Linked DNA regions of Caenorhabditis elegans. The protein of the gene in region 1 purifies or fractionates together with the protein of each later gene. This does not show direct contact. Each region holds a gene or a part of one and is shown in the gene's direction. Other genes may lie near its edges.

Evidence for each region.
Region 2: the proteins of C43H6.4 (region 1) and nhr-202 fractionate together in Caenorhabditis elegans (co-fractionation; one large-scale study listed by BioGRID). This does not show direct contact.

What each region holds. Positions count from the first base shown.
Region 1 is NC_003284.9:2,402,142-2,408,092, forward strand, and holds C43H6.4 (PH domain-containing protein), read left to right. Parts: upstream 1-1,882; 5' UTR 1,883-1,890; coding exon 1,891-2,036; intron 2,037-2,079; coding exon 2,080-2,158; intron 2,159-2,202; coding exon 2,203-2,362; intron 2,363-2,416; coding exon 2,417-2,550; intron 2,551-2,843; coding exon 2,844-3,086; intron 3,087-3,142; coding exon 3,143-3,430; intron 3,431-3,476; coding exon 3,477-3,593; intron 3,594-3,646; coding exon 3,647-3,762; intron 3,763-3,970; coding exon 3,971-4,105; intron 4,106-4,157; coding exon 4,158-4,246; intron 4,247-4,551; coding exon 4,552-4,928; 3' UTR 4,929-5,223; downstream 5,224-5,951. Other genes in the region: mtpn-1 (ANK_REP_REGION domain-containing protein), read left to right, coding at 5,326-5,496, 5,546-5,629.
Region 2 is NC_003283.11:460,660-465,662, forward strand, and holds nhr-202 (Nuclear Hormone Receptor family), read left to right. Parts: upstream 1-1,928; 5' UTR 1,929-1,940; coding exon 1,941-2,080; intron 2,081-2,127; coding exon 2,128-2,258; intron 2,259-2,298; coding exon 2,299-2,369; intron 2,370-2,499; coding exon 2,500-2,628; intron 2,629-2,678; coding exon 2,679-2,888; intron 2,889-2,980; coding exon 2,981-3,177; intron 3,178-3,784; coding exon 3,785-4,049; intron 4,050-4,095; coding exon 4,096-4,197; 3' UTR 4,198-4,304; downstream 4,305-5,003. Other genes in the region: nhr-203 (Nuclear Hormone Receptor family), read left to right, coding at 141-350, 402-598, 702-969, 1,018-1,119.

The sequences.
Region 1 (5,951 bases):
CAGTGATGAGGTTGGATGACCAGTGACGAAGCAGAATGGAAATAGTGTAGGGTTACGAAGAGAGCCTAGATACGCAGACAAAACATAGAGACAGAGAGTGGAGAGGCATCGAAGGGTTGCGGACAGCAAAACATTGATGAGAAATCAAGCCGTTCTGTCATTTTTGGCTCTCATTCCGTTTATACCCATATAACTCTAACGTTTATTTTAACTGAAGTTATTTTTTTGGCAGAGTAGCGCTAGTGAGGAAATTGTATTTAAAAAAACCAATCTCCTTATGCCAAATTAACCAAATACCATAATAAAACTTGTTTTTTTTCAATAATAAATATTTTTTATTTTGTCTGAATTTTGTCTGAATTTTGTCTTTTTATTTTATCAGAAAGTGGCATTTGCTAAGTTTTTGCCACCTTTTTGGATGTCGTCGATCAAAAATTGTTTTACTTCAAGTACTTATAGATTAGTTAAAAGTTCATAAATTAAAACAGCTAAAAACATGATATTTTTCAGTAAAAAATGATTCATGACAAACTACCAATATTTCAAAAACAAGGAAGCTACCAGAAATCCATAAAAACCTTAAAAAACGATTCTTGATTAGGTAAAATATACTGAGATTTTTTTTTTGAAGAATGCCGGTCTTCATTTTTTGTGTCTTGATTTTCAAATGAAAAGATATGTTTCATCGCTCTTACTAAAATTATATTAAAAAAAGAGTAACGGTTCTGAGTTTTTTGAAAGTACGGACCCGAAATGTGCTCAAATTAACTTGGAAAAAATTGTCCCATTTTGGCTCACGTGGTGTCAGAGTGTCTCATTTTGGCTTGATTTACGTAGATCTACAAAAAATGCGGGAGAAGAGACGCAGAGTTCTCAACTGATTTTGTATGGTTAAGAACGTGCTGACGTCACATATTTTTGAGCAAAAAATTTCCGCTTTTTTGTAGATCAAACCATGACGGCAAAATTGGAGATTTTAGCTTTAAATAGCCCAATTTTTTAAAAAAATTTTAAACCACCATAAAATAGTTTAAAACACTTTCAGAATTTTTGAAGTTTGCTTACTTATTTGAATCATTTTTAATCTAAACGATCAAGTATTCAGTTTCCTTGAAGGTTTTTTGGCTATGAAAAAATATACCGTGATAAAATCAATTTTCACTTTAACTTCCAATTTCTTCTGCCTCATTTCAATCCAATCCGTCAATCTACGTCATATTCTAATTTCCGCGCCTCTGTTTCATTTTCCGAAGGCGACAACATTAAGCTTTTGGAAAACAACTGAAAGAATGTGGGTTGTGAGCAACATGAAATTGACGCTGCCTGCTGCTTCATTTTTCGTGCATTCGTTTTGACTACCAGGCACTACCAGGACGTAGAAGAGCAGCAACGTCCTATTGATTTTGACCAAACATGTTCTCTGTTGGATAATCGGTTTTTTAACACATTTCGGAATGTCATTCCGTTTTTTAAAATATATTTTTTACTTCTAATATTAGCTTTTTTTTCAAAATATTTAATTGTCAAAAAACATTTAGAAAACTTTTTGAAAAGTTTCATTACAAATTCTGTTAATTTGAGCACATTTTGCAAAAAACGTTTAAAATTTCCAACCAGTACTCCTCCTTTAAAAAAATTTTCAGTGTTGGTAAATTTCCAAATGTTTCAAATATGTGATGAAATTGTAGAAGGCTACTTCTAAAATTACGATGAGTGATAACTCAGTTTTCACCACTTTTGACTGTAAATTAAAACATTTAAAAATGCTTCAAAAACTTATTTCTTGGTTTCCGCCATTTACACATCATACTCATGTTCCTTTTTTCTAAAACAATATTTTTTAAAACTTCTGATTATTTTTTAATAAAATTCCTATTTTCAGCTTTCAAAATGAACCGAGAACTTGGATTTACCTGTTTTGAATCTTTGATTAAAAGCCCAAGCACCAACAAAGAAGACATCAGAAAAGCATTGCAAATTTTGGCGAATGGATTTTCTGAAGAAACGATTCGTTATATATTGGGATCTTTGCTTCAGTAAGTGGACCTTCTTCTTTTTTTCAAAAAAAAATTGTTACAGAGACTACATCAATGAATCAACCATGTGCTACTGGAAGAAAGCTTTGGTAAAACTGATACCAGAAGACAGTTTCAATGAGGTATTTCAAGCCAATTGAGTAGCCAAAACTTTCATTATTTTCAGTACCGAGCAGATTTGATATTCAATGCTCCTCCTGTTCTCTGGACAAAGCTCGGCGCAGCAGCTGGTAAACACATAACTGGCATTGTCATGGAAAAGGATGAAGAATGCTATGAAACAGCTATAAACAAGTTTGGCGACATTGTGTTGGAAATTGCGCGCGGTGAGTAGTTATTTGATGAAACAATTTTTGTGAAATATTAATTATTTTTTTTAGATATTCGCATAAATAATCGATGGCGGATTCAAGATGTCAAAGACAGCCTGCAATGCCTGAAATATTTAATTTGCGAATTGAGACCACAACTACCACCACTAGCGAATGCTGAGCTAAATAGCTGTTTCCTTTCAGTAAGTGTTTGTGTTTGAAAAATGTAGTACCCCACGAAAAATTGGTAATCCACCAAATTTTGTAGAATTTAAAAGTGGGATAGCGCCTGTAGGGAAATCGCACCACAATGACCACAATGACAGAAATTTTTTTAAAATGTTGTTTATGATTTTTTGAAAATTGAAAAAATCTCAGTTTTGACCACTTTTTGGAAGTACCAAACAATGGAAACAATCGAAACTGAAAAAAAAAAATGCAGTGCAGTTCATTAAACAAATAACTTTTCAAAAAATTATTAAAATCAATTTTTCAGCTAGCCAAAAATGTCCGTCTGGGCCGCGAAAATTTCTTCCTACTGATATCTCTTATAATTGTTACTGAAAACTTTTCGTATCAAATGCTGGAGGCTTTAACATACCACGTTTCAAAAAGATGGCTGAATCTGGGAACCGCCGTTGAGTTTTTGAACATAAAAAGAAATGCCACAACAATTGAGGAATTGGGAAATTTCAAAGAAATGGATATAGATCGAATCGAAACGAATTTCGTTGTAGCAGTGCGTTTTTTTTTCAAGAATGTATTTTTCTTTCTACTGTGTGGTCAAGCTTTCAGATGCTCCAAAACAGAAATGCCTACGAGATTCAATACTTCATGAGTCAATTACAACTAAATAATTCAGTATCGGATGAAATTTTGGCAGACAGTGCACACCGTCATTTAATTGAACTAGATATGACACGTCAGAAAAATCCAACAAATCACGGACTTATTTTCTTTTCCCGCCAAAGTGTGCTCATAAAGTACTTCCCCAACTATCGACAAAACGTGTTCGATGAGCTGATGAAGTTTGCAGTTTTAGAGCCAATGATGGATGAAAAACAACGTTGCGTATATTACACGGTACAGTTTTTAAAACTCATCAAAACATACAAGTTTATAATTTTAGTGCCTCGCTGCAGTGTGTCCCAAAAAGGAGCAACATCACCAGAATAGTAATCCGGAACTTTTCAAACTTCTTTTCAAACGACTCATGAAGTTTCTACCAGATGTGCACGCAGAAGGGGTTAATTGAAGGATTTATGAGCAAGTAAATCTAATTTAATTTTTTAATTTCAGATTGACCAAGTGTTTGGTCCATTTGAAATGGTTTTGCACTGTCTGTATAACCTGTACCAAATAGATACAAAATTAAAAGCAGTTATGACTGAAATCGATCCAGACTGGCAAGAAAAGTAAGTGGTTTAATACCTTTGAATTTTTTTTTGTGTGTTATCTAAAAAAATTATACTATTCTTTTTAAAGGCCAGTGGGGAAATTTCTTTTAAACATACCATAATTACTAAATAAAGTATTAAGTTGCAACTCAAGTTCTTGGTTTGTTTGAAGAATCTGAGCAACCTTTTTTCGAAAAAATTCAAACTTTTCTTATTTTATTTTCAGAATCGCAAAGGAAATTGATTTCCACATTGTAGCAAATGCAAATAATGTGTACAACTGGGGACGTTTTAGTCGTCATTTTAATCATCATGAGAGACAGCGATACCAACGTGAGCAATACATTATTGTAAATACAGGGTATGTAAATTGGATAATTTTTTACTTCAGAAAAAAATCTGTCTATTTTCAGAAAACTTCTCGTCTATATGCTTGGTGTAATCAACAACGACGTTCTTCAAGTTGAGCCAAGTTTCATGAGCCCTTTGAATATTTTTAAAGGTAGAGTTGAGAATAGATTTATCAAATTTTTTTGATAACGTTGCAAAAAGTATCATGACAAAGACAAGGTGCGTGAGCCTTGCAGACGAATGTTTCACTTCAAAAAATTTCAATCAAGACTTAAGAATGCGTTTTTAGTGTCAGAATGACAATTATTTACATTGGATAAAGCTTTATGAAAATGTATTCCAAAACATGATAAAACCTTCAGTAATTTTGAGACAACTCAGCATTTTTCAGAACTATTTTGAATTATTTTTTCCTTTTCGAAAACTGAGCAATCTGTAGCATATTTCAATTTTCAGGCTACAAACTTACCGATGGATTCAAAAATTCGTTTCCAATCTTTATGACAAAAACTCTCAGCCGACCTGGTGGTCGTGTACCTTTGCTCCATCGGATCACAATGAATTATGATCGGATTTTTGGCAATAATCAAAATGTTGAAACCGAAATTACAAGACATTTGAGGCATTACTGGCCCATATTTCAACTCAATAACAATAATGATCAGGAACGAATTCATTTGGAAGAGCAAATGCGTCACGTTCAAATTGATCGTCTCACAGACGCAGATTCGTTTGGTGTTCCATATTTTGTGGAGTCTGAATATCCCTATGAATCGGATGATTCTTCCGACGAAGATGAAGAGGAAGTTATCAGTCCAGTGTCGGCTGCTTGAAAATTGAACAACACTTCAGAGATATTTCGTTTTCCGTTGTTTATTGTTTCATTTTTCAATGTTTTCACACCTGATCTTCATCTCTTTTTTCATTTCTCTGCGCACACTAAGCACACAACACCAGCCTTTCTCATCGATTTTTTGCGTTGTTCAGCGGAAACTAGCTGTCCAGTCTGATATATTGTTCTGTATACAAATTTTTATCCAAATTGTCAATTTCTAACATATTTTGTTGTTACAGTTTTGTTTTTTTAAAACACGTATCATAAATTTTGTAAATAAAAGTTTGAAGCTCAATTTTCTTGAAGTTTCCTTGAGATTTTATTTCACTGGTTTCTAACCTACTGCTATTTACATTTTTGTGAACATTTTCTATTAAAACTCACAACAATTCCAGATGTCCGTCGCCTGGAACGTACAAAACGGAGAGATCGATGCAGTGAAGCAGAGCGTCAACGAGAAGAACGTTCACGAGATCTACAACGGCCGCACCGCCATTCAAATTGCCGCCGACTACGGACAGACTTCTATCATTGCGTATTTGATTAGCATTGGAGCGAATATTCAGGTGAATCAGCACGATATTCAACAATATGCATTTATGTTTGTTGATTCAGGATAAGGACAAATACGGAATCACACCGCTGTTGTCTGCCGTGTGGGAAGGACATCGCGACGCGGTGAAGCTGCTACTCCAAAACGTGAGTATTTTATGGTGCAGTAGCGCCTGTCGTGTGCTAGTAAGCTTAAATTTTACAGTGAAACTTTCCAGAATAATTTTATTCGCTGTCAAAAACGGCTATTTCTCAGTTTTCGCCTCAAAAAATTTACGAGTAGGCGAAAAAAAAGGCGATTTTTGAACTCATCAAATAATGTTTCAAATATTCTAAAAATTCAATCATTGCTCTTCATCTTACAAAAAATCTAGAACTTTTGTAATTTTGGCATTTTACTTTTTGAGAAAACCATAGCACTGTTACGTGTTCGAATTTCGAGGCTGTTTAAATATCAACAGTTGAAACG
Region 2 (5,003 bases), on another chromosome or scaffold:
CGGCAAATTTTTTTTCATAAAAATTGTCTTTCCCGCCAAAATTTTCCTCGAAAATTTGAACTTCCCCCAATACTTTTATACCGACCACAACAAGAACTTATTGCCATGCTCCCGGAAACAAAGAAAAATCGATATTCCAGGGCTGCGAATCACCTATCAGACAACCGAACATCTTGAAAAAACTGGCTCTAGGCCTGGAAAAAATTCGCAGTACTCAGTGCAATGTGACAAAAATCCTGTCAAAATTCGGGAAGGACGAAGTTCTTGCAATGTGGGAAACTGATATGTTGAAGATTGCAAAATGGTTCACATATTTCGACAATTTCCAGAAACTTCCATATAATCTTCAGGTTTGTGCCGGTAGATCAAACTTATACTAATGAAAAAAAAAACTTTTGCAGATCGATATGATCAAGCAAGTCTGGGCTATTTGGGCGGCAATGGAAAAGCTGGCAAATACTGCAAATGCTAAAAAAAATTCCACATGCGAAAGTGCGAATGTTGTGCTTCAGATTGACGATGATTTGGTGGCCTGTGAACAGTCGATCGAGATCGATCTTTCCTGGTGCTCGAGTTATAAAACCGAGCAGTTGCAGTTGTGAGTTTTGGAATCCACAGCGGCCGACATCGATCGAGGCTTGCGATAAATGTCGGCTGCTTCTTATCATATACCCGGAGATCAACGATAATAACATTTTCAGCTTCGACTTTGACCATCAAGCTCAGCTCGAATATTTAGTGCAACTAATGGTAGATCTCAATCCAACAGACGAAGAACTCAGTTATATGCTATGCCATATTTGCTTCGAACATATCAAAAAATCATGTGACAGGTTTACTCAAGAAACCGTTGAGCAGCTTCAAGACACCCTTTCTGATCATTTACATGACTACTACATAAACCATGAAAACCGCCCGACTTACTCAGGAAGGATCGTTTCAATGATAAAGCTCAACAATGCTTTTCAGGTTTTTTGTTCTATGAATTCTAAAATTAACCTTTTTTTGAAATTTCAGAAGTACGTCCAGCGGGAACGACTGAAATGTGAACTGATGAGACTGTTCAAAGTGTTATTCGTGGAGTATTCAAATCCTGAATTATTTGTGGATTATTGGTAGTCAATGGAAGTGCGGAAGATCTCAAAAAATTATGTTTTTTTTTTCTAAAAAAAAATCATTTGTTTGTATCTCAACATGCTTTATTATTACGGCAAAACGACGAATAAAATATTTTAATTTGAATTTAACTCTGGATTTTAAATAGAATAAAATTTTGAATTTTGCGTGAAAATATAATACTATATTGGACATAATTCAGGAATTCCAAAATTATTTTTTTGAAAAAATTAGATTTCCGCGGTAAATTTCAGAAAAAATATTGAAGTCTAAGTTTCGCGCCGAATTGTTTGAAAATTTTGAATTTTGCGTCAGCTCTCGCCGAGCTATTTTTGAAAAAAAATTACAAATTTTTCGAAAACTTCAATTTTGCTGAAAATTAATTGAGAACGTTGAACCTTGCGCTGAAATTTCTGTAAAATGTTTTTAAAAAATGAAGGGTTTTGCTCAAAAATAATCACGCACTACAAACTACAAAAACTACAAACTATAAATAAACCATTATTTTTAAATTTAAAACCCTATGTTTCTTGAGCATTTAGAAGATAGTGATGCCACTTTTTACATTAAAGTCGACAAAAATTTTTATTAGGTCACTTTTTCCTATTATTATACTCTTTGATCTTTCAAACTGTAGGGCACCCACACATACACTACAAAATACGCGTTTTGTCCTTCCATTTTCTCTGCGCTCTCTTCAAAGTTCAACAAATAATTTTTTCATCATATGGTTACACCGATTTGAAAATGTCTTTATTTGATTTTTACGCTGGTTAATTTATGCTGAAACAATACATTAAAAATACATATTCCAGGAAAACAAAATGGATACCCCTTGCTCATCCGGCTCCTCACCACCGGACCTCACCATTTCTACCACTAAAAAGTGCCCGGTTTGCTATAAGCCGCCCCATGGGATTCATTTCGGAGCGTACACCTGTCGAGCTTGTGCGGTGTTTTTCAGGTAAATTTCTAATTCTAATATTTTAACAATATTTTACAAAATTCCAGGAGATTCGGAGCTTCAAACAATCTCAAGCCATGTAAAAAGAACAATGTTTGCGATTTTTACAAAAATGGATATGTGAGCTGTAAAAAGTGTCGATTAAAAAAATGCTTCGAAATTGGGATGAAAATTGAGAGTAAGGGATCTGGCTCCCTATTAGTACTAGTTTTTTTCAGACTTTCAATTCGAAAGGGACCCATACAAGAGAAGTTCAATATGCATCAGTCTAGCTGGAAGAATTCCACCGGTAAGTTGTCTTATAAAAAAACGGAAAATTGTTATTGAGACTGAAATAAGTGGCCCGACATCCTCCGGGTTCCACGCCTCACCATCAAAAACCCAAACTCAAGGTCGGGCCATGCACATACAATTTCCAGACGCTTGAAACATTCCTTGCTCGACCAAGCTTTATAATTCTCACTGCTCCACCAAAAGATGCACAAAATCCCAAGGTCTATATCGATGTCAAATTTTTGATTGACAAGTCCTACGGGGAGTTACTAAAGGCAAGATATTTCCAGCTAGTACAAGCTTTAACTAAAGTTGTGTACTTCAGGGCATTGAAACACCTATTCAAACGTCGAATATTTTGAAAAAGCTGGCTTTGGGTTTACAGCAAGTCCGGGGGTCTCAGAGAAAAGTAACGAAACGGCTAGAAAAATTCGGAAAAGATGAAATGTTTGCAATGTGGGAAAATGATATGCTGAAAGTTGCCAAGTGGTTCACCTACTTTGAAGATTTTCAACAGTTTTCTTCGGAATTTCAGGTAAAGTTTAAAAATTTTGCAATGTTTTGTGTACAAATTACAATAAAAATATTTTTTTATTTATAAAAATAAAAATAAATAAAAATATTTAGATAGAGATTATTAAAAAAGTTTGGATTGTCTGGAATGGTTTGGAAAAGCTGGCAACTACCGCCAAAATGAGAAAGCGGATGAATTGTGATGATATTCTTATGGTATTACAAATGGAAAATGATCTAGTGGCTTGTGGGAAGTCGGTAGAGTTCGACTTATCTTGGTGCTCAAATTACAAAGCGGAGCAGTTTGCATTGTGAGCATTATTTTAAAAAAATTAAATCATTGCCTATATATTAAAAAATAGTGTACGTCTGTTGACTACGTCATCAATGGGCGGAGCCTCTCCATTTGTGGCGAGACTCATCGTTGCGAGTCCCATCGTGGCGAGACGCATCAAAAGAAAAATATTTCGGCAGGAAACTGAAAATTTTCTAAGAATACAATTTTGGCGAAAAAATTAAAATTTCTGAGAAAAGTTGTTAGCGGGTCTTTCCAGAAAAATCTTGAAATTTCTAGAAAAATCTGGAAAATTTTAGATTTTTCTGGAAACTTCTAGAGTTTCCTACAATAATCAGGAAACTTCTAGAAATATGTTTAGAGTAATACAAACTTGAAATTTTGATTTTGTTCTGAAAATTAGCTGAAACTTAATTTATAAAATTGAATTAACCGAAAAAATTGACTGAAAAAAATTACCCGAATTTTTAGTTTAGTCTCAATTTGGCGGCCAATTTAAAAATGTTTTTGAAAAATCCAATTTCACTCTACAACTCACCAACTTAAAAACGTAAGACTTGAAAATTCATCAATTTTGTTTTACGAACTTTTCGAAAAACATTACTCTCTTACTATTTTTTCAGCATCGATTCAAATTGGAACAAACATGAAGAGCTGCTGGAATTGATGGTACAACTCAACCCAACAGATGAGGAACTTTGTTACATGCTATGTCATTTGTGTTTCCAACAAATTAGCAAACAATGTGACGGGCAAATACTTGAAGCCGTTGAGCAATTTCAAGATTCTATATCAAATCATTTACACGACTATTACTTGAACCATTTGTCCCGCCCGAATTATTCCGGAAGGATTGCTGCTTTGATGAAGCTTAATAGTATTGCTCAGGTATTTTATATTAAACCTTGTCTGGAAAAAACTCTGAAATTTCCAGCAATTCATCTACCAAGACCAAATAAATGTGGAGATTTTGAAAGTGTTCGAAGTGTTTTTTGTAAACTTTTCCCATCCGGAATTATTTATGAACTACCAATAACGAATTCATAATCTGTAAATAAACACCTATATTCTTGGCACATTTTTGCTCTTTTTCTAAAGTACCAAGTGCTCTTCGCACCTATTGTTTGCACTACAAACTACACTATATTATTCCACATCAGACATTTCTCGTAGAGTCTGCGTCTTCTTTTAAATTTCTCGTCATATGCTCGGAACTACCTTTACAACTTTTTTTAAAATCGGAGGTGCTTGTTTTAATTACTTTGAAAAATGACGTTATCTATTTTTTTTGAATCGTTAAACTTTTCAAAAAATATTATTTAGATTTTTCGTTTCTGAAAGAAAATTTGTTTGGAAAAATGTAATTGTTCTTGTTCGTTGACATTATTTTTAAACATACACAAAATCTCAAAATAGTTTTGAAACTTTTTTTTTTTGGATTTTTGGATTTTTAAAATTTTCATGTGTCATTTTGTTATTTTCAGCATCAAAAATTTCAGCTCATTTATGGAAAATCCGATTTTTTTTCTAAAAAAACCTGAATATTTTATTTTGTTCCCCAGCACTTTAGGATATTCCCCCTAAAGCAAGTAAGCTGTGTAAATACTACCAGGTCCATTATAACACCCGCAGAATACCCGAGAAAAGTCGGCAATTGCAAACATGTGGGGAAGAGACCAAAGAATCAATGTACTTTCTTTTGAATGCGTCTGTGTTTTGATGAGTTGAATGACGGAGACGATGACCTTATTCGATTAGAACCACATGGTTTCGCACTCCTGTTATTAGTGAAATTATGTCCGAGAGTATTTGGATTTGAGAGATTTATGTGTTTTTAGATGG